Linked DNA regions of Lytechinus pictus. Each later gene encodes a partner of the first gene's protein in a complex. Links are inferred from orthologs where the notes say so. Each region holds a gene or a part of one and is shown on either strand. Other genes may lie near its edges.

What was found. The genes of interacting proteins can lie anywhere in the genome.
Region 2: outer dynein arm-docking complex subunit 4-like (region 1) and calaxin-like share a complex: the UniProt entries of both Homo sapiens proteins name them as parts of the outer dynein arm-docking complex. The link is inferred for Lytechinus pictus from reciprocal best matches to the Homo sapiens genes ODAD4 and CLXN.
Region 3: outer dynein arm-docking complex subunit 4-like (region 1) and outer dynein arm-docking complex subunit 3-like share a complex: the UniProt entries of both Homo sapiens proteins name them as parts of the outer dynein arm-docking complex. The link is inferred for Lytechinus pictus from reciprocal best matches to the Homo sapiens genes ODAD4 and ODAD3.

What each region holds. Positions count from the first base shown.
Region 1 is NC_087245.1:21,557,402-21,565,098, reverse strand, and holds the start of outer dynein arm-docking complex subunit 4-like, read right to left. Parts: upstream 3,012-7,697; 5' UTR 2,868-3,011; coding exon 2,739-2,867; intron 2,122-2,738; coding exon 1,990-2,121; intron 1,331-1,989; coding exon 1,177-1,330; intron 764-1,176; coding exon 702-763; intron 1-701. UniProt on the Homo sapiens protein: Component of the outer dynein arm-docking complex (ODA-DC) that mediates outer dynein arms (ODA) binding onto the doublet microtubule. Plays an essential role for the assembly of ODA-DC and for the docking of ODA in ciliary axoneme.
Region 2 is NC_087257.1:8,581,743-8,589,638, reverse strand, and holds the start of calaxin-like, read right to left. Parts: upstream 3,008-7,896; 5' UTR 2,870-3,007; coding exon 2,821-2,869; intron 1-2,820. Other genes in the region: glycylpeptide N-tetradecanoyltransferase 2-like, read left to right, coding at 3,185-3,285, 5,359-5,536, 7,731-7,863. UniProt on the Homo sapiens protein: Component of the outer dynein arm-docking complex (ODA-DC) that mediates outer dynein arms (ODA) binding onto the doublet microtubule. Seems to regulate the assembly of both ODAs and their axonemal docking complex onto ciliary microtubules.
Region 3 is NC_087259.1:10,445,888-10,453,525, forward strand, and holds the start of outer dynein arm-docking complex subunit 3-like, read right to left. Parts: upstream 3,008-7,638; 5' UTR 2,739-3,007; coding exon 2,657-2,738; intron 1,383-2,656; coding exon 1,183-1,382; intron 57-1,182; coding exon 1-56. Other genes in the region: uncharacterized protein LOC129277736, read left to right, coding at 4,456-4,731. UniProt on the Homo sapiens protein: Component of the outer dynein arm-docking complex (ODA-DC) that mediates outer dynein arms (ODA) binding onto the doublet microtubule. Involved in mediating assembly of both ODAs and their axonemal docking complex onto ciliary microtubules.

The sequences.
Region 1 (7,697 bases):
TCATTAGCGATGGTTTTGCGCGTAAGAAAGGATCACCAGTCGTTCTTAAAGTCGCTCTTAACTTACGAACAGCTTTATGAAACGGCCCCCTGATCCTTATCTTTGCATTATTCAGAACAAAAAATTATATTCCAACCCTAAACTCTAACCCTATGCCCTCTGAGATATTGAGACAGAAGCAAATGCTGCATGAGCGTGCGTCGTGTCACCTTACTAATAACCTCTACACGAATACCTTCAATATCATAAATTCAATCTTCAGGATAACTAAGCACATTACCAAGTAGAAAGGAGACCAGCACAAAATATTTAAGTTTTAACAGTGATGACTACAATGTTTTTCATCAATATAAAAAACAGACCCCACATCCCATTTACAAAAAGAGTTGTGATAGATCCAATCAAACTCAAATTGCGATTGATTCAAAGCAATCTAAAATTGTGTAGTGAAGAGATAGGAATTTGTATTTTAGATTTTACTACTTAAGTAATTTCTATCAATCAAAATTCAAGTTTGAATTAAATATATTGCAACTCTTTGTAATATACAGAAGCCAGATGGCTTGATTCTCAATATGAATTTTATTTTCAAAGTGAAACTACTCATTCAACTGTCTCTAAACAAAATTTTAATCCTAGTCTTGATAGCAAAAAACATTGTAAATACCTCTAAAGAAAGCTTCCTTATCAATAGAACTCACCTCATCTTGTTTATTGAAAAAAGACAAATCCCCTTTGTTTTCTAGTTTTACTTTGGAAGGACCTGGTTTCAGAAGAAGAGATAATATAAATAAATAAAAGGGCTTCAGTAGAGTGTACGCTACTTACTAGACATGTTATATGACGCATTTTGATATTTCATTAAACACTTGATAAAGCCCAAATGGGCAAAAATTCATTGTTTACAGAGTGCATGCTACGAGTATACATGTACCAACATACATGTATGTTAATATTTTTACTTCAAATGTTTTATGTAGATCTAACAAGTTTTACATGTATGTTTGGTTCTGGGCAGGTGTTTGTAATGTAATGATGAAGGTCGCTTTATTTCATTTATTGCTTGACAGAATGCGAATGGGGTTTAATCATATCTCTCAAAATAAATCAGCTAAGTGACATAACTAGAAGTATAATGCATGTATTCTATCAAGCGCAGTAAACTAGTTCACATACTTCCTATTGAGTTTTCAATTGCTTCTTGTGCTTTCTGTATGCCAAGACGGAATTCTTGGAGCTCTGGTCTAAATTTATTGCCGCGGTGATAAAAGACAAGGGCCATCTCAAAGTCTCCCATCTGATAAAGCGCCTCAGCCTTCTGAAATAAACCCTGTTAAAGAAAAAATACATACCAGAAAGGTGTATGCAAAATATCAACAAAAGTGAAATAAATCTTTCATTAAACATCAATAAGCCTATCCAATAAACACAAAAGCATATGGCTTTGCTAAAATGATTTGTTAAAATTTCTTAAACTTTACTTCTGATTCTTGACTTGTTGTAAAAGATACAGCACTGAAAATGAATATAATCATGTATAAGTTAATGAATATTTCTTCTTGACCATTTTCTACAGCTGGCTGTATGTGCAGTTAATACCACAATGAATTGAAATCAATATGCTTTATACACTTTCATCATTGAAGAAACAGGAAAAAACAGCAAGTCCATTAAGGTGATAAATGTTATAATCAGCACAGATACCGCTCAAAGGAAAACAGAGTTGAATGAAAATATCTATTTAGGAGGAACGGTCAACTTTCCACTCAAAATCATATTGGCAGACACAATTTAATGTCAATTCTATATTACTCAAAGGCCATTTATAAGAAAAATATTTCATTAAGTTCATATCATTCTGTTATCCTTTAGATCACCTCTTTTTATATGTTGATTTTTTTTTTGCTTATCACCTATAATAATTGTTTTTTAATCAAATTTGTTTATTGTTTATTCCTTTTTTTCCTGTTGGAGGGCTTTATGACTAACCTTAATGTAGTTTTTATCATCTGAGAGTGCTGCCTCAGCATCTTTTAATGCTTGTTTGGAATCACCGAGTTGAAGGTAGCACTTAGATCTGGCAACCAAGCAGTTCTTGTCTGTGGGTTCTATTTCTAAAGCCTACAAAACAATAACAAGAGAAAAGAAATGAAAATTAACCATTTCAAACTAGGTGCATTACAATGCATGTAGGCCTATAAAACAAAGTCACAAAAACTTACCTTTATATCTACATGTATTTTTGCCAGATGTGTTTGTGTTGACAAAACTTTTTGCTCTGGACCATTGCATACAGAGTATATCAAATTTAGAAAATTTTTACTTCACTAAACAAAGGTGACATGAATGGGCACCCAGCAGGATTAATTCCCTGAATACAACAAGCGCTGGAAGAATAATTTGAAGCTAAAGTATAGTGTGCCTTTAAAAATACAACTTTATAAATGCCAGGCATAAATAATGATTATCTCCCTATATTTTGATCAATGGGAGAATCTCACGATGTTGCCTGCAAAACAATTACAACCAAGTTTTTCATTTTAAAAAAATCAGCATGAGCAAGATCTGCCTTTCTTAAACAAGTCAATGGTAGGTGAAATTCATTAATAGAAAATTTGAATTGGACATGGATAAGGATAAATATGATTTCTTAAAAACCCAAGCACTATTTTTAATTCAATTGACATTTTGCTACATGTATGTGCACACACACACACACACATCCAACATGCACATACTAAATTATAGCCCTCCATTGCACGTCTGTAATCTCTCTTTCTCATGTGATCCTCCGCTTCTCCTATATACGACTGCAGGAGCTTCAACTGCTCCTCCCGCTCTTGCATGGGATCCACATATTCATCCATGATGGATCTAAATTCGCTCCTTCAAATATCCAACCAATATCCAACTTCAGTACAGTGACAGATATCCAAGATGATGTGCAAGTCTTTGTGTTTCAGCAGGCAGCCATTACACTACATGTACAGCATGAAGAGCCCCTTTGAGATAAGTCATAGCAACAAACAGCAATGCATATTCATGTCTTCTTGACCTCATGCATATTCATGAATGCATCATTGAGTAGGTCTCAACAATGGATAACAATGGATAAAGGAAAGGGGTATCTCTATAGACTTGATCAGGGAATGTACCAGCTAGAAAGTATATTGATTTCCATTTGCAAAGTGATCAATAAAGAGTGGATGAATCCATTTATTGAGAAGGGAAGGGTAGCGTGGTCCTATGTGTTTAAAATTCTCAAATAAAATTTATCTCTGCTGAATTTCTACTATCACAGTTAAATATCTCGGTATACATGTATTAGAGTATTTTAATGTGCAATATAGTCTTTAACATAAATTTTCACTTTCATTCCCTTTATGAATATCTTGTTCATTAGGCATTCTTTAATTAGCATTTTGCTTGTAATCTACTTTTTTGGAAGACAAATCAAAATGGAAATTGCTGAAACAATCACCGCCCCCCCCCCCCCCCCCACACCTCCACAATGGTTGGTTCATTAGTACTCAAGTCAGAATAAATTTGGGCCAACACTCCAGGTTCAGGAATGAACAAGAACTGCGTAATGTACAGATGACACAATGTTTATGGTTTTCATCAAAGACATGAATGGCTTCTCTCAACCATTTGCTTTTAATGTTTATGAAATGTTGGTGGAAACTGTATATTAAATAATTTGATAAACTCAACACAAACTGAACAGGTTCACTTTTAAGAAGTCAGGGTCATTGTACATTTACATGATGCCTGGAAGCTTCAGCAGAGTTGAAAAATTTTGCCAATGCAAGCTAATTACTCATAATGCAGTCAGGCATCTTCTTATGTCAGCTTGAGTAAGCAATATTTTGTCATAAGACTAAAGCCTCTAGTTCAAGCTAACTGTCATCCATCCATGAAAACACTTAGAGCCTGTGGGAGGTTTTCGAATGAGGTCAAACCAAATGGGTCCCTGCATTGTATCATCCTAATTTTTTTTTCTCTCAAAATAGACAAGATAACAATTCTAAACATGAAAATTTTAACTTCTGTGGGGGGACTTTGAAAAGGGAACTTGTATTGGTAATCTGTATTGAGAGATGTAGGGTAATCACCCAGTTTAAGATGTGGTTTGGTTAAAAAAAATACTTGGATCTAGACTCTTAAGTAGATCTACTTAGGTCTACTGACGTTGGCTAGACTTAGCTTAGTCGTAGCAAATCAAAGCCTTGCCCGTTTACCGGATCACTGTGCTGCTTTATTTTAGCAAAGCCATAGTCTAGACTTCTATACTCTCTCTCTCTCTTAACTGATCCCTCCACTATTTGGAGATTCCTAGGGTCCAAGGAAAACAGATTTGTTCCATGTACACTGTCATTCTGGCTAGGAGGTTTGAACCATATCAGAATGGAATTTTGTGGAGGAAAAAGAGGGATGATAAAAGTAGACTATTGTGTACTTCATTGGGCAAACAAGAGTAAAATGGTATAAGGGTAGCCTGAGTAAAGTCCTGTGGGTTGGCATTGACATATAGATTGACACATGTTGGGAAGTCCATAAGGCAGTCCTTGACTTTGCCAATAAACACCTTTTTTTTCTTTTTTTCTTTATATATTTATTAACATATATACAAGTTAATATACAAACACAACACGTTTACAGAATTGCCAGCATACATACTTATAACAACAACAAAAAGCCTATGCACTAATGAGTAATAAACTGACTGTACATAAAAACACACACAATTAGGAGAAAATTGTGAAAATAGTAGAAGCACACTATCTGATTAAGAACATGTCTGGTACAGAAATACCAAAGAATCAGGACTGAGTCTGAGGCCTCGAAGTTTCAAATGAAAAAGACCATTTTCTAAAGTGAATACCCAATTTATTTCTTTTCTCTGCTATTTTGTAATCAAGTTTCTTTTTGTAGTTGATGAAAATCATAAAGGCGTCGAAATTTGGTTCCAGTTTTTTAAATCTGCAACGGTATATATAAAATTTCAGATAAAGTACTAAACAATTTATACATTTCATGTGAACTGAATCATTAGAAACACCAAACATCTTCTCAAAAGTTGTCCAATTTAGGTGACCTCCTATTTTTGTACTGATTAAAGATAATAGGTTTTGCCAAAGCGGGGTAATTTTTGGACATTCACAAAACAAATGGACCAGTGTCTCTGGGAAAGCTGAACAATAAAAACAATTTGGAGATTCTATTTTTTGCCAATAAACACTTGACGGAGATGGTCTAGGTTGGGACACTGCCCAGTAAAATGTTCCACAGTCTCGTCGGCAGATTTGCATAGAGGGCAAGTGCGACTGGTTGATTTCTTCAGCGTGAAAAGACGACACTGTGTTAAGTAAGGTGGCTCTGAGGAGTTGAGCTCTCACCACAAATGAAATGCTCTTCGTAAGACAGGAGAGGGTACACTTTTCAGGTACAGGAGTTTAGCAGCAGGAGGTATACAATCTTGCCATTACTTAAGAGATGGCTTGGAAAGGATTCCTTGACATGTGTTGTGTTTGGTCAGCAGGTTCACTCTGTAATTGACCAATCTCTTCCAAGATGAGTATACGGGAGGATTCGAATGAATGCTGTGAAGATCAGGAAGATTGTACTTCTTTGTTATCTCCTGCAAGAGCCGTATTGTAGGAGAGCCTAAGTTGAGGGCTTCCAGGAATGTTCTAAACTCAAAGCGGCTGTGATCGAGGTTGACGAGTTGACCTAGAAGCAGCAGTTTCCTGAGATCTATTTGTGATGAGACTGGAAGGAGGTCAGTGAGGAGGTAGACAATCTCGTCGGCAGCAGTCTTTGGGATCCCTAGAACTTGCTTAAACAGATGGGATTGAGCCCGGTGTAACTTTACAAGCATAGATTTAGTGAACTTGTGGATAGAGGACCCGTGCAGCATTCTAGGGATGCAGAAAGTTTTCCAGAGCTGGGATACAAGAGTAGGAACCAGACCTCCGGTATATGCTCCAGTACCAGTGAGAGCAAAGAAAGTACGAATACCGGTGCCAATAATGTCGCCAGTTGGATCCAATCGTATTCCAGACTTGAGGATACCAAGATGAGGGTGACTGACTTTCTCTTCGATGGTAGATCCATCGACTTCCCAGGATGAGTTCGATGGTTGTTTTTTCCTGCTGCTCACAATCACTGCACTCTTAGACTATATACTACCTCTGAAAACTCCTCAATATCTAGACCTATACTGCTATAGATCTAGATCTAACTCTATAAAGTTTGATCTAGATTCTATTTCTAACGTTAGATAGACCCAGGCCTGGATAGACCAATAAACAGGTCTATTTCTGTCAGGGATTAGACTGATAAATCCGCTGTTTCAGAGGAGTTTTTCAACATTTTCTGATTTTTTTCTGTCCTCCTACACAGACGGATGACGGCCATTGGGCTTGTAAATGGTGGAGCAAACAACCGTCGCTTAACTACAGCTACAGCGTCTATGGTCTGGAGAAAGAGTGCGTTCTTGCACCCTCCTCGATCAGATCTAGAATATCTATTCCTAAATTTTGCTTTTTGACGGGGAAAAAAGGAAGAAATGATAAAGATGAATTCATATCAAATTATAATGGAATCAGCTTCTGAAAAATATGCTTGAAAATAGCGAATTTTGATGACAAACAGATCGGGGCGGGTCAGCCAGGTTCTTGTTCGATCGCTGTCAGCTACATGTACAATAAGTTACAGCCGAGTGTACAGAAGAAGTGCCAGCGGATTGGCTGGCACGTTCGTACGCTCAGCTGTGTGTATTTGTGTGTGTACTTGAGTTTTGTCAGACGTGTATCAATCAGATATGATTATTTACGTCTGGGACCGACCTTTAACGTCGCCATCCGAAAGACGTGACCAGGGCTCGAACCCCTGCGTCAATTTGTAACTTCCCCACAGCTTGGATTACAGGCGCACGCCACAACGCCCAGTTGCTGTAGATCTAACTTTTATTACTGTAGCTGCACTGACGGCAATCGAAGAAGAACATGACCGATCCTGATCTGTAGCCGTTTGTCATCAAAATTCGCTATTTTCCACCATATTTTTCCACCAGACAACAAAAGGACTCACTACACTAGTCTCTACCCTTCTCCAAAGCTTATGTGAAGACTCAAGTTTGTATTTGTATCACCCTTTCTTTCATTCTGTTTTTTTTTTCATTGTTTTTTTTTCCTCTCTCTGACTCTGAGTCTGACTCTCTCCCACGGCCCACCCGGTCCACATTAAACTCGGTCACTCACGGAAAGCAGCTCAACTCACCAATGCCGTCGAGTAACTATGCAATGCTTTTTTGTACTCTCCTTGCTTAAACAGAACATCACCTTCTGCCATATAAATGGCAAAAGAGTCTTGATTTGTTTCTCCCTCCGTCATTGTGGAAGAGGCCAAAACTTTGGTGAAAGATGAATAATATTGATTATTTCGGCCCTCTGTCCTTTGCCTGGTTCTTCGATCGAAAGTCCGTCACACGAATTTCACGTAAACAATATATGCGATATGCGATATGCATGCATTTCCTACATAGGTTTACCTTAGCAACGTTACAGAGCATGCGCAAAAAAGAAAGAAAATGTTAACGCCATCTCGCGCTGAAAATCATAAAAGGTGTACGACAGGCCATCGCCACGGAAATAACAATTAAATTAAGGTTATTATTTTACTATCAGTCAAAC
Region 2 (7,896 bases), on another chromosome or scaffold:
CCAATTTCCTTTGTTTACATTTGCTGCAAAAGGATTACCTTGGAGGCAAATAAAAATGTGATAAGCAGATTCCTCATGAAAAATTACCCCTTTTCACCGTCTACTTTAAAATTCACCGTCTACTTTTGTTTTGATAAGGATTTTTGTTGTCAATCACACACAAAACAAATGGGCTTCTGACCTCAGTGAGACAAAATTTTGGGTGGAAAAAATCATGCTTTTGTTGGTGTTGTTTCTTTTGTCCTTTTGCAAAGCAAGTCTCCAATGTGGGAGATTGTCTCCCCTATTAGTATTAGTATTGGAGAGAGTCTCCCATATTGGCCGTGCGCCTCTACTGACACTGACAGTACTGTCAAATGAGAATGATGATGCCTCACTCACTATATAAGTACCGGTATTTTGTTTTTAATTTTATTGTGTGAATTATACAATATTTAATTTTTTTTATTTATAAATCCTCCTGAGTGGGGTATGGTCTCTGGAGCTTACAGCATCCCGCAGCCTGTTTGTTTGCGGGGATGTTGTTTTTGCATGCGGCAAGCCGGCAAAGCCAAAACGCTTGGGCTAGCCCACTCATGGGATCAATGCATCTCGCGTGCGAAGGATTCATATGCACATGGTGCACGCGAATTTTTCACACCCTTTTTACTAAAATAACTAAGCCATTCCTTTTAAAATAATGTTTCTAATTGTGCTATGACACTTACCGAACCATATGGATCGTTTCTTGTCTTCTCTTTGGTGTGTTTTTAAGATAAAAAATGCATTTTCTCGTGATCTTCACGTAGATACCGCAGGGTAATTGTGGTTGTAAACTTTTGCTTAAAGAGCTAGAGGGCGCGCGATATTATTCACAAGATGTTTGTTTACGACGGTTCTGCAGCTTGTACTGCTAGCTGCATTTTAGACGCTCAGCATTATTTTCCTCTTTCTGTTTTTTTTTTTTTGCTGTCAAGCGGTATTTTCTATTGTAGCGCCATCAGCGATGATGAAATGTAAAGAGTCGCCTTGAAATGAAGAAAAATTATGTCACATTAATTCGTTAGTTTGTTTCCTATTTTTTTTCACTTTTTTCTTCTTCCTCATCTATGATCAAAGGTGAATACCTTTTTTTGATATCTGTTCTAAAAGCTGGACATTTTAAATATTTTGTTCAAGTAAATAAATCAACAGGATAGTAATCAAAATGCGATAGAGCTGCCCGAGCTGAAAATTCTGATACAAGGACTTGAAAATAAAACATTCTGAGCACTTATTATAACCATGATGAGGAGACCTATATATATATATATATATATATATATATATATATGTGTGTGTGTGAAGTTATACATGTACTACAGCTTTGGCAACTCTTTTATTTAAATATTGTGTGACGTTGTATAAGCGCCTTTGTATAACAATTAAAAGGGTAGGTCTATTTACCTTACAAATTATGCGAGCGCTGAACTTTTGGACATTTAAACCTCAACAAATGGACATTTTTTAAATATGAACAACATCATAAATGTCACTTACAAAAATGATGCCAGCGCGAAGCTCGCGCTTAGAGTTTTTGATATTGATGACAGGACTGTATCTAAATGAAAAATAATGCGAGGGCATTTGCGCTTAAGATTTAAATTTGGGATTTGAAAAGTCCGACAGATTACCTATACTTTTAAAAGAGGAATGACCTCCAGAATTCAAGCGCGAAGCGCCAGTAGATTTATGTTGAAGTTTAGACCTAGAACAGGGACGTTGAACCTTTATAATCATGAAAAAGATGGTATTTTTATAAATAAAACATGGGAGTCTAATTTTGTTTTAGTGTTAATATTCAGATCTTCAAACTTGACATTTTCCTATCCCCTTCATTATCCCCTCTCCTTCTCCCTTTCCCCATTTTCGTTCTCCCTTCTTTTCTTCTCTCCCTTTCCCTTCCCTTTTTCGCTTTTCCTTTCCCTTCTTTTCTTTCCTTTCTCGCTCTTTCCATTTTTCTTTCCCTCTCCCTTCCCCTCTTCCTTTCCTTTGTTTTCTTTCTATTTTATGGTCTCCTTTTCCCTCTCTCTCCTCTACCTTTCCCCCTCCCTTTTCCTTTCCCTTTCCCTCTCCTTTTTTGTGCAAACATATAAAAATACGTGAAGGATATGTTCCTCTTCTGTTTTATACTTTAACAGAAAACATTTTGTTCAACCAAATTATGATTTGTATTTCCAAGTTCCATGTAATATTTTCATTGGAAAATCTCTTAAAGGTCAAGTGCACCCCAGAAAAAATTGTTTGAATAAATAGAGAACTATGTTGATTTTTGGTACAATTTCCTATTATGCGCCGACGACTTGAATCGAGAATGTTCGATAGGAAAATTTCGCATTTCGATTGTTGTTTGCGTAATTTCCACCGCAGTACGAAGGATGACTAAGGACGGACCGAGCGAAGTATCCTGGTTGAGATTTGGAGGTAAGCGATAAAAACACTTTAATAAATAATTTATAATTGCTTTTTCATAAAAACTTGATCATACGATCAAGATTAACATAGCGGACAAATATTGAAAGGTTTGGCGTAGTTTAGTCCCTCACATTCGTGTGATGAATGAAAACGTCAAAATGCACTATGAAATCACATGTGTTGTGCGAGGTTAGTAATACTAACCTCGCATGTTGTGTGAGTGGGGCTAGCCTAGGGTCCGATACGGTGCCGGAGCTCTGGGGAAGGTATCGGGCCCGGCCCCAGGTCGGGCGCGTCGCAGGGCGCAGCTCTGCCTCACTCAGGTCGGAACTTCCGGAAGGTACCGAATAAGTTTGGCCTTGGGCTAATTAAATACCTAATACTTACAGTGGAATTCTTTTGCCTGATTTCCAGCATTCTTTTTACTTCCTTTCATGGTGATATTTATTCAAAAGAAACCGATTTCCCTCCAAATTAAATGGTATAATGATCTAGGACGGTACAAATTCGCGGGGTTGTTGACGATAAAGCTTCACGTCTCTATGCATTTTGCGCATGCGCTTGGGCAAAATGTTTTCTCTATTTTCTTGTTATTAATTTTGTTATTATATTTTTATCCTTTTTAGGAAAGAAAAAAAATAATTTAGTGATTAAATAAATATCAATTTTATTTTAAACTGAATGCGTTTTAAGTTAGACCCTTCCAACTCTTTAAAAAAGAAAAATTATCTGACCAATTTAGCCAAAAAACATGGCGGAGAACATGGACTCGCAGACGGTGACAGAAGAGAATCTTGACCCTGTTACAAATGGAGAAAAAACTGCTGGCAGTGAAGCACAAACTGAAACAGAGTAAGTGAAATAGTTATCAGTTTATTCAGCTATACACTTAAAATCCCCTAATACCATATTGACAACATGCAGGATTCTGCACGACTGCACTTCATTTCCGTCCAGGCCAGCCGTGTGCCCGTGTTCGGAAGTGTTCATTCAAGTCAACTGAGCTGCACGGGCACGGTCTGGCGCGCGCACGGGCCTGCGCCGATCGCGCCCGGGGCAGTACCTCACCAGCTGTAATCGCGCTGGGCCTGGGCGCTCATGCTCAAGTTGGTGGCTGTCTTGTAACTGATCGTGCACTTACTTAGTTTAGGCCTAAATAATCTTCTTGATGGTGTCCTCAGTCATGCCATGAGTTACTAGCAGTAGCATGCCATGGAGGAGTGAAAGTGAAAGAAGAAGAAAATATTGAAATGAGCAAAACTTTATAATTTTTTATTCTTTAAATTTAAGCGAAAAGAAGAAATACCACTTGAAATGAAATAAAATGAGATAAAAATAAAATAAAAATGAGTCTAACTCTATGTCTGAAAATGAGATTAGATCAATAAGAGCAAGATCAAGAAAAGAGATGGGGGGGGGAAGAAAAGAAGAGAAGGGAAAGAAAAGAATAAAGGGAGGAGGGAAGATCATTTTGAAGATCAAGGAGATCATCATTTGGGTGTGGAAATGACCCACATCGAACAACAACAACGAGGAGGGAAAGAGAACTTAAGAGTGAAGTTGAAGAAGGGAGGAGGTAGAAAAAAAATAAGAGGAAAGAATTTAAAAAAAGAAGGAAAATAGAAGAATAAGGAGATGGAACTTAGCTTAGAAGCAGAGGAGGGGGTGGAAATAAAAAAAGAAAAAGAAGACTGAGAAAAAGAATTAAGAGAAGGAGGAACTCAGGAAGAAAGGGTGGGACATTAAGAAAGGAAAGAGATAGGAGGAGAAGAAAAAGAAGAATAAGTTCAAAGAAGAATGATAAGAAAAAGAATAGCAAATGACAAAAAAGAACAAGATGGAGAGGAAGGAGGAAGAATTATTCAAAATAGGAGTAGAATGAAGACAAATGAGGAGGACAAGGAACTGGAGAAGGGGGGGGGGGAGAGCTCGAGAGTGAAAGGAGGGGAGAAGCTCTAAAAGAAATAATGATAGGAGAAAAAAGATAAAAAGGAAAACAGAAAAGAAAAAAGAAAAAGAAGATGATAGAAAAATAAGGGCTGTGAGTGACAGAGAAGTGATAAAGAGGACTCTTACTTTAGTTGTGAAAAATTTGATAATGGAGAAACCTAAATATTTCATCAAGTTTCTCCTCCCTAATTTCAAATCAAGCATGAAAAGATGTCCCCTTTCAAGCAATCCTTGTTGCCATATTAATGGAAAGTATTCAGTTGTTTGCATAATTATTGATTGTGAAAAGTGATAAAATAAAATATTTGTCAATTACCTGTTTGAATATTTCAATCCATGCTGAATGATTGCAGGTAGATAGTATGATTAAACCCTCTAAATGTGTCCAGGGCCTCCAGGCTGTTGAAAATATATACCCTTTTGATACCCAACAAGTTTGGAAGTTTCCTGCAAGACTACCAGGTAACTGAGAGCTGCAGTGGCCTGTAGCAGACTGGTTTAAAATCTTTGTTTCTAGTCAGTATGCTACAGATCATCTTTTCGTTTGGGAGAAATTGAACTTGGGGGGTTTAGGATTTCTGCTAAGAGAGGGTATGAGTACAAATTGGGCTATTTCAGGGGGTAACTATCTTTCCCAAAGCTGAATCCCAAAGCTGAACTATAGGACTGCCCAACTTTGGCAAAAGGAAGCAAGTGACACATCAGTCGAATTTGAGTTGTTTCTGGAACATACTTTCTATATTGCACGTTCAGGCAAAATTTTGGGAAGAAATGATTGTTCGATGAAAAGATATTGATCAAAGATAATGTGATGTTAAATTGCATTTACGCCTATGTAAATGACAAACACACATTTCTCATTTGTAACTTGCTTCCTTTTGCCAAAGTACGGCAGAGGAGTGGACATGTCTATGGTATACTGTCGTACTGTAATACACTACATTTTCTCTCGCTCGCTCTCTCTTCCTTCAATAGTCCTACCAGTAATTTAGACGAAGAACAGCCTTCAACCAGTCAGCAAGGGGCCACAGGTGGAGCGGATGATGATGGAGGAAAAGACAAGAAAAAGAAGAAAAAGAAAAAGAAGAAGGCAGATGGAGCTTCAGGCGGTGCTGCAGTGGGGGTAGACCAGATTGATTCCCGTGTTAGTCAGGTAGTTCCTTTATTCATCTTTTGATTTCTATGCCTGAGCTGTTCCAATATGATCCAATATGATTTTGCAATTAGTCTAAATTCCATCAGAATTAAACCCACTCGGTGCACATGTACTCTCAATTTGGTCTAATTACCTTTCGTTCCAACAATCAATTTGTCTAATACTTTTTGTTTACAGTAGTCTAATGCCCAGATAGTCTCAATTCCCCCTTTTGCACACTTTGTCAAAAGAAAATTTGGCTCATACAGTATTGTTTTGCACTTTATCAAATGAAAATTTGGTTCATGTGAACAGTTAATCTATTCATAGATTAGGCCCCCATTCCACAGAGGGGAGACCTTGGAAGGACTTCTGAAAGACCCAAAAATAGCAAGGTCTTAACAGCAGTCTCCAAGATCACTGAAATTTGACGACTCTGTGAAATACTGATTGATACTTTTTGTCTTACTAGACTTAGACAAGTCCTATAGATATCTTTCAATGATCTTCCAGAGATCTTTTATGCAGCAAGTGATCTTTAAGAATTCTTTCAATGGACTCTCCCTGGTCTTTCAATGATCTTTGAATGATCTCTCACGAGTCCTACAGTGATTTCCCAAAAAATCTTGAAAGACTGTCGAAAGATCATGGAAAGACTATTAAGAACTTTGAAAGTTCATGGAAAGACCATTGAAAAACTCCTGAAAGACCACCAAAAACATTTTCTTGAGGACTACGAAGACCACTGAAAGATCCACCAGGAAACGTGAAAGACCTCAGAGATCTTTTGAAAGTTGATTGAAAGACCCTTGAAAGATCAAGCAAGTTTCATGGTCTTACAGCAGTCTTTCGGAGGTCTTACTCTTTGTAGGAAGGAGATTTAAGTGGCTTTAGACAAAAATTGAAAATAGTGAAACTGGTTAACTGGGTTAAATGACAATGCATTACCAAAACGTCAGAAGACAAAGAGGTTGTAGACCAACTAGGATTAAACCATGTAAGATGAGACCAGATTTAATACAAAATGGACACAAGTGGCAATTTACCCCATTCACATGCCTTTACCAAGCGGAGAATATGTTGAAGATGTTTTTGGCTTGTGCATCCCTCCTGTACTGACCGCACAGAAACGTTGTTAGCATTTACGATGCGCTACATGTAACGGAGGCTCTGATACAATCGGCAATGTGACAGCGATGCCTAATGTTACAACAATGCATTACTTGCATGTGGAAATCAAATGTTTTGGCTTCACAATCCGAAAGATATGACTGGGCTTGCTGTTAGCGCTTTGTTTAACTAACAACGTTTCTGTGCGGCTGGCATAGGTAGTTTCCAATAGGATGCCTGAATCTGGGCATATTATTAATAATTTGTATTTGTATTTATCATCCTTATTTTCTAGTTATTATGTTAAAATGTTCATTTTAAAATTTTTGTGCTTACATTTTGGTGGCAGCACTGTATAAGACTTGGTTCTTCTAAGCTGTCTCCACATTCTTATATTGATATTTTGTTTATTACTATGTATATTTATGTGTTTTTATGAATGAAATAAATTGAAATTGAATTGAATTGAATTGTGAAAGATTACTGGTACTCACAACCACAATAAATTTTCTCGAAATAGAGCTGACATCTTTGAACTGAGATATTAAAGAAAACAGAATAAAATGAAAATGAAATGATGATGCTGGTGATGGTAATGGTGATGATGATAATGATGATGTGGATATGATGATAATAATGGTAATATTAGTTATTGCAATAACAATAATCATGAAAATGATAAGGATCATGATATAACGATAATGACAATAATTTATAAAGATTTGATTAATGGTTATGATGATAGTGATTGTTAGAGTGGTGATAATCACAATAATTGTGTTAAAATGGTGATTGATGATGATGTGGAGCGTTGTGGCCCAGTGGATAAGTCTTCGGAATTTGAAACAGAGGGTCGTGGGTTCGAATCCCAGCCATGGCGTAATTTCCTTCAGCAAGAAACTGATCCACAATGTGCTGCACTCAACCCAGGTGAGGTAAATGGGTACCGGTAGGAAGTAATTCCTCAATAAGCTGTGTGCCCTGTGAACGCCTAGCTTAGCCGCGTAATATAGGAGCGCCTTGAGCACCTAACAAGGTGGATATGTGCGCAATATAAATACCCTATATTATCATTATAACAGTATTGCTCTCTTATTTTCAGAATCCTCAGCTATCCATGTCAAAGCTAAAAGCTGCCATGGAGTTTTTCGTTCCACAGGGGCCTGCAAAGAACATGGACGAAGCCAGGAAAAAGACTTACAACTTCTGGGCAACACAGCCTGTTCCTAATTTGGGTAAGTAATTTCTTCATTTTGTTTTCTATCAGT
Region 3 (7,638 bases), on another chromosome or scaffold:
GCATTGAGTTTTTTCTTGGCCTCACACGCCTTCTGGTCCATGATACGGATTGCTTCCTGTAAAGCCACAATAAAGGGATATATTTTGTTATCACTAACAAATTTAAACAAAATACATGTACTCTCTTTAAAGGTATAATTGAAATAAATACCTGCCCATCTGTGTCAAACATAAGAATGTCTAATTCAAGAAAAAAGACTAGGAAGAGGGAGATCAACTTTAAAAATACCACTGACCCACTGACAGTAACTGAACAATATGGGAGGTACATGTATTTCTATAGCCATGGTTAGGTTAAACCTGCGTTGCATTCGACCACACTTATATGGAGTGCCAGTTTTTATTATTCTCCAATTAAACATTATTCTCATCCTGCTGCAAAAAAAGTTTTCAAAAGTTAACTGAAATGGGGTGAATAGGAAAATACAAATATATAATGAATTTTAATGAAGTGATTGGCACAATACAGTTGCCATGAATATGGAAGAAATATTATGAAGCCAGCATTCAATAGAAGTGTGGTTAAAATTCTACTTTAAAGTTAGACTAGGGTTAAACCTTGGTATAATTATCAGCATGTGCCTACTATAAACCTTTCCCTGGAAAATATTCGGTTAAAGCTTTAACTGATACATCTATTAAGCTGATATTCTTATCAATAATAATATGCAAAAAAAAACACACAAAGAAACTTACATGTATAACCACAATATCAGAGGTAGACAGGAATATAATTGAATCTAAATCATACATGTATTCTCATAATCATACTGTACAAGTACTTTTCTGATTGAACAAACCAAACTAAGACTAGGAGTATGCAAGGACCAAACTCTCCTCTAGATTAAAATTGAAATAACGTTTTACTAGCATACCTTATGTTGGTCAAAACATTAAGTTATCAACAACATTGGTTATCAATTAATAGTGGCATACATGTACATAACTGGTGTTTGATTCCTAGAGTAGTTTGAAAAACAAAACAAAATTAAGATCAATATTAAAGGTTTTTTTTTCTGATTTCCTTTTTATTTTACCAAGCTGCAAAGGTTATTCATGACTTCATGAAAGATTAACCCGTTGCAGACTGGATGATTTTGCTATAACAAGTTTTCCATAGACTCCAGCGGCAGCCCATATATACTCGCACCTAATGGGTTAAGAAACATTTAAGTTACCCACCCGTCCAGATTTGCCTCTGAGCGAGGCGCGCTCCACCTCTCGACTCTTGAAGGCAATATCCAGTACCCGGTCATCTCCCGCCTTGCTTGCTGCTAGCCGCTTGTGTAGGGTCTTGTTTTCCTGTCGCAACTTACGGATGACTTCAAGGTTCTGCTTAATGGTCCACTGGGAACTCTCGTAATATGCTTTCCTGTCACCATCTTTAAACAAATATTAATAAATAAAATAATCATTGAACTGAATTAGGTACATGTACATGGAACAATATATGAAAAAAAATCATATGACTTTAAACATCATTAATGGAATGATCATATTGATAAACTCTAATAAACATGGCATCCATTTTTCATCAACCAGTTTAACCATGTAGTCAGATGCGTATTACTAGTATTAGATCCAATGTGTAAAATTATTCAAATTGATACCAATATCTTTGCATCTAATATGCTGAACAGATTCTACATGTAACTTTTGTTCTGTGGATTTATTTATCAATTCCTGACACCAAGATCAATAGACCTATCTGATTTTTACCATCCTCAATATAGTAAGCGTGTCAAAGAGAACCTAGTCTCCTAGACCAAAAGTTTTTGTTTCTCTTTATTGGTAATCAATATCCACCTGAGGATCAGGACCAGGAACCCAACATGGCAACAGATGTTGTTGGTTCCCAATTCCGTTGGATGTTTTTAGTCACTACACATCCTCCATGACCATGTGTTAGAATGTATGGAGGTGAAAACAAAAAACTCCTCCAAACAGACAGATTCAGCTACAGCCTACATGTAGATTCTAGATCTAAGCCTAACTAAAAGCCCTAATTAAGGCTAAGCTAAGGAAACCAAGTAGGCCTAGGACTTTAACATTACGTTTTGTCAATTTTGATTATTTCACAATTTCTTTCATTTTACTACTAGTACTAGGCCTACCCTCCCCAGACTGTATCCCACGTAGTCGTAGTCGATAACATTGGAACAACCATCCTTGCCTTAGGCTTAGCCCTTACAAGTCTGCTTTTGAACTGTCAGTCACACATGTGCCAGCGACCCTGGCCTCTGCCAAACTTAATCATCAACAAGACCTTTTATCCATTTGATCATTGACTTTGGTCTCGTCTCAAATAGACTAATACCTGCCCTAGCTTATTTTTGTTGATAGATCCTAACAAATAACATCTCACTGACTTCAGTTCAGTCTCTCTCACTCACGCTTGTCTTGACACTGTTCTGTTCAGTCCAGATTCCATTTATTTCTGAACATCTTCAACTCAAAGTCAAACTTTATCATTGCATTACCAATTTAATATGGCCCCTTGTGTTTATGAAAAAAAACTTCATTAAGTGTTACCAATGAGAGTACGTCATGGTCATCTAGATCTGGGCGTATCAATTTATTTCAATTTCTACATCCCCATTTAATTTACATTGCACATGACATGACAAGTCACAAAATGATTTTTTTTTTTACTCACCCAACAAGGAGATTTTACGCTGCAATTCTGATATTTGCTCCGTAATCGGAGTGTTGCTGTTTGTTTTGCCGACACCCGGCATTTTCGTGAGTTTTCCTGTCCTTCACCAAAAGTTAAAGATGTAAAAATATCAACAGAAACAAGTCTTTTTCAAAGAAATCTCGCTGCCAAGTCCATGTATCTTTTCGTAGTGAAGATTGTTTACGTTAATCTAGCTAGCTAGCTCTGCATAGGAAATCTACACACAAAATTTGTATTGGATTCCCGTGTATTGTACACGTACGAAATCCGCGAAACGAGAGCTTGCGATCGACGAAGGCTGTTTTGTCGCACGTTTCCCGTAGCAACTGCCGATCGTCGATAGCGCCAGCTGCGACCAATATGCGCGCAAAGACGCTGACGCCGAATTCGTCGGAAAAAAAAATATTCAGGGCGAGTATATAGAGCTATAACGTATAAGAAACTCAGAATAGATAATGGACGATAATACATATTTCATTTTTTTCTGAAATATTTCACGAAAGCGTACACTTAGCTTTGCGGGGGCCGCGGATAACACAGCCCCCCACTTTGTTTTTCCAAAACCGTGTACAAAAACGTAAAAATGACCATCTGATTGTGGTTTGTTGCATAGTCAGCCCCCCCCCACACCCTTTCAAAACCGTTCCGCGGCCCAAGTGGGGTTTGGTACAGGCATTTTTTTAAACCACATCAATGTTGAGCTGGCCCCTCGGAGGCGGCTTAATTAGGAGTACCCCCCCCCCCTTTTTTTTTTCTTTTGTCTGTTGTGCTTTTTAATAGGTCCAAAGTGTACAGCTTTTTCACTGCAATAGTGCGAGTAAAAAAAAATACATGGCAAAAGTATCAAATACAAAGTGGGTTCTTAATTTGGCCATGATGATGGGCAATGTTATTCGGATTGGTTAGACAGGAATACGGAGGCTCTTGATTATAAATTGTTAATCAGGGAGAGTTATTGGGGTGTTTTGTCACCATAAACGATACTAGGATATGGATGTAGGAATGTATATATACCGTATAGTGATATGCCTCCAATAGAACACTGAAACAATACAAAGAAAATGATGTATTTTTCTGTCACTGTGAGAGAATGTCACATTGATAACTGGTGAAGACAAGGAACAACAAACACACTGTTCAGCTAAAATATTTTCTTTTTCAAGAGGGGATATTGATAGCACAAAAAAAGTGCAGATTATCCCCCATTAATGGATTTTAAAGTTTTCATTAAAATGAAAGGACATCATTCACGACATGAAAACAAAAAGATATTAGAACCAAATGCTAGCATAAGCCTAAACTTAATCCTGGACAAGGTGATACGATAGTTGTCTTTTTTGGACACAGTCTTTGATAATGAAACTAAATATTGAATTTCTGACGCTTTATCACCCACAGCAATACTGGGTGAAAGGGAATCATGATCGTTAAATCATTAATGATAATGTAGAAACTTATACAACTGGTAGTGCATTCAACCACCGCAATGGCATAGCAGACTATAAATCAATACCTCGTGACTAATTACCAATGTCAGGTGATAAAGGCAAATGGACCAATAATGAGCCTCTAATTACACGCGCGTGCGCGCAAAACTTTTCTTTTGTGACGTCAGTTGTATACATAATGCATCAAAGACAATGGTCATTACGACGCGACAAGTTCATGAAGTGGACATTAGTAAACAAAACATTCCCCGGATAAGGTGGTGTTAAGTAATTAAATTAAAGTAATGATATTTTAACAATAGTTTAATATTTTAAGCGGAAGGAACCGAAATGGCAGCAGCGTGCATTCACATGCTACCCACACCGGGGGCAAAATGCGCTGCAAAAGAAATTAAAAACCAGCACGAGGACAGTTGGGAGATTTTTCCCGAAGACGAGGCAGCCGGCGTTGACCGCTACGGGAGTTTGTACGCCCAAGATTACAGCTTGGAATCTATCAAGCCCAAGACCGGGAAATCGGCCAATGTCCCAGCGACGATATGGAGGGTGTGGCAAGGTTACCATGGTCACATCTCTCCTCCTAGAAACAACCCACATCCGTCCGTGGTAAGTAGCAAGGGGGATCGGGTGTCCGGACACTGTCTTTATGATTTTGAAGCCTTATTTTTTGTATTTGGATTACACTAAAAATATGAATTCAATAGTTGTAATCGTCTTCTATGTTGTTCTCTGTAATATTACCTAATATTTTGTACTAAATATTGATGAAACTTCGCTTATTATTTTTTTTTCAAATGACTGTTCAAAATTGATTATCCGGACACACAATCTGCCTGGACACACATCTTACAAAAAAAAAAAAAAAAGGTGTTAAAATTTTAAGCACGAAGTTAAAATCCGTCACTTTAACAAATGTTTAAACTTTTAAACCATAATTTTAATCTAAATTTGTAACAATTTGTTTATGGCAGTTCTTAAGCGCTTACGATATCCCCTCGGCCCTAATTCGAATTATACCGAACTTCAAACTTTTAGTTCCCCTTATTCTATTGCTTTATTTTCATCTTCATTCTCATTTCATGAGCCTGCTTGCACGCATTAAAAGTTATACCTAAATTTAATTCATTACAAGCTTATTCGACCCCCCCCCCCCCAAGGTCAGTCTCTTTTTGGTTTGCATTTTGCACATTGCGTTTAATTGCCACTTTTTGCGAAAGTGCATAAGACATGTTAGATGGTCGAATCGTTGCCACCCCACCTCGGTCAGCGTGTGAAAAGGGGAAAATTTGCCGCCCTTCAATAATTGCTCATGATTGTGTCCAAACACAGAGTAGTGATTCGTTATGAATATCTATCATCAATATCATTCATCTACTGTCGATAAAAAAATATTTAATAACAGCTATCCGTAGACTGTTCGTGTTAAACAGCTTAAAGTGTAGAGTTTAACATCTTAAAGTGTAGTGTTAAATATCTTAAAGTGTTATCTTATTTTTGTGTGCATGAGTTTCGCCTGGACACTGAAGAAAACTAACAAAACACATTCTATTGCTAAATTCGTATATTACAAGCTTTCATCAATATTATGAGGCATGAACGCAGAAAAGGGTACGTTTCTTTTCATTTTATTGGAAAAAATAATAAAAGTTGAGCCTCAAAGAAAACATTTAACATCTGAATGATACCTTTGTAGAGAACAAAACATCCCAAAGCTCTTAGACGACGTGAAATTATCGACAAATCATTTGGAGCGCTAATAATGATGAACAAGACAAGGTTTTGATATTGATTAGATCATGCTTAACCATTGTCTAGGAATGTGGCATGGATGCAGATGGAAAAGAATAACAAGCGACCAAAATCGTTTTTCTGTTGATTAGCAAAAAGGTTTGTGGTATTCTGTTTGTCTGTCACGTGTCCGTGATCAATGTCATTGCCTTAGTTACATTTTCTGAAACACGGTTGCTGCCACCATCTAAGCGATCTTTGCTTGGATGGAGATAATGAAAGTCCATTGTCTTTATCGACTGAAATAATAATCGGGAGAACATAGGATGGATGAAATTGTCGTTCTTAACTCAATCCCAGAATGATCATGACAAGAGCCACAGAACAACCGGGCTGGAGGGCTAAAAACGTTAACGTGACCACCAGGGCCCTGATGCATGCATTAAAGAAAAACTATATGGACATTTTTTGCCTGAGTTTTTAAATGTGTAAGTTTTAATGGCATAATTCTGTTTGCCAGAGTTTTTTTATGGCAAAAGTTTAGTGCAACGTGTCCCTGATTGTAATTTATTTTCCGTGGTCAGCCCCCCTTCGGCTCTACTATATCAAACAACATTTTTCCGAAATTTTTCAGCTCGCGCTTCGCGCTCTTATCAGTTGTTTAGTACCATAGTCCTGGTTACAAAAAATGTGCTTTAAAATGTGTTAAGTTTTCGGTCAGTATATAAATTTCAAAATTTATTTAGATAAAAATCTTGATCGTAATTTAAAAAAGAATGCTCAGAATACTCAATTTTCAGGCCTTAAAACATGTAATATTTCAAAAACCCGAGATCGTGCTCACAATATTTATTAAGGCTAAATGAGATACCTATCTAGCTTGTAAGAACATGGATCTATGGTAAGAATAATGTCACGATATTTCCTTAAACTTCAATTTTTAGTTAGGACTACCCCCTCAAAAATAATCTGGGGAATTCTGTATGAAAATACCCCCCCCCCCCCCCCCCTGGCGAAAGTTGGATCCTCTCATCATGTGGATCGAAATCTGTGACAAGCAGCACCATATAACATGAAAATAGGCGCGGCGACCGAGCACGAAATGATTACATCAACTATTGAAACTTACTATTTAATACACACGGTATTTGGGTAAACTGGAAATGAAAGGTCATTAATATGCGTTTTCACCCATTGGCGTAGGATCTAGGAGGCTGGGGGTTGTCCCCCCCCCCCCCCCGAAAAAAAGTTCAACCATAAAAAAGGAACAGCAAGGAAATAAACTAATAAAATGAAAGGAAGGGGGTGAAACGTTATTTTGTTGAATATTATGTCATAATCTATCATAGAATCATATTTTCATTTAATAAGGGCAACAAGTTCCGCTTTGCGACTTTTTCGAAGTTTTCCTACACATGCCATATTGTTCCCCACAACCTTTTTTTTGCTCATAACGCCACTGTTTTCACTCTAATTTATTATTTTGAAACCCATAATACAATAATTGCCCCCCCCCCCCCATCATCAAAGGGGAGTGAGGGAGGGGTGTCCACAACCGCCACTGAGCACGCTTTGTGCATATTTTATGTAGGCCTATACTGTCATCAATCATCTTACAACAAAATATATGTAATACAAGGCCAGGAGGTTATATGGAATGGCAGTGGCAAGAGGCCTAAAGTGATAAAGTTACAAGATGTTTGTATTCTGCAGATAGGAGCGGGGTACTGCGTGGAGGAATTAACAACACCCCCCCCCCCCCCAACTTCCATTAAAATCTCCTAA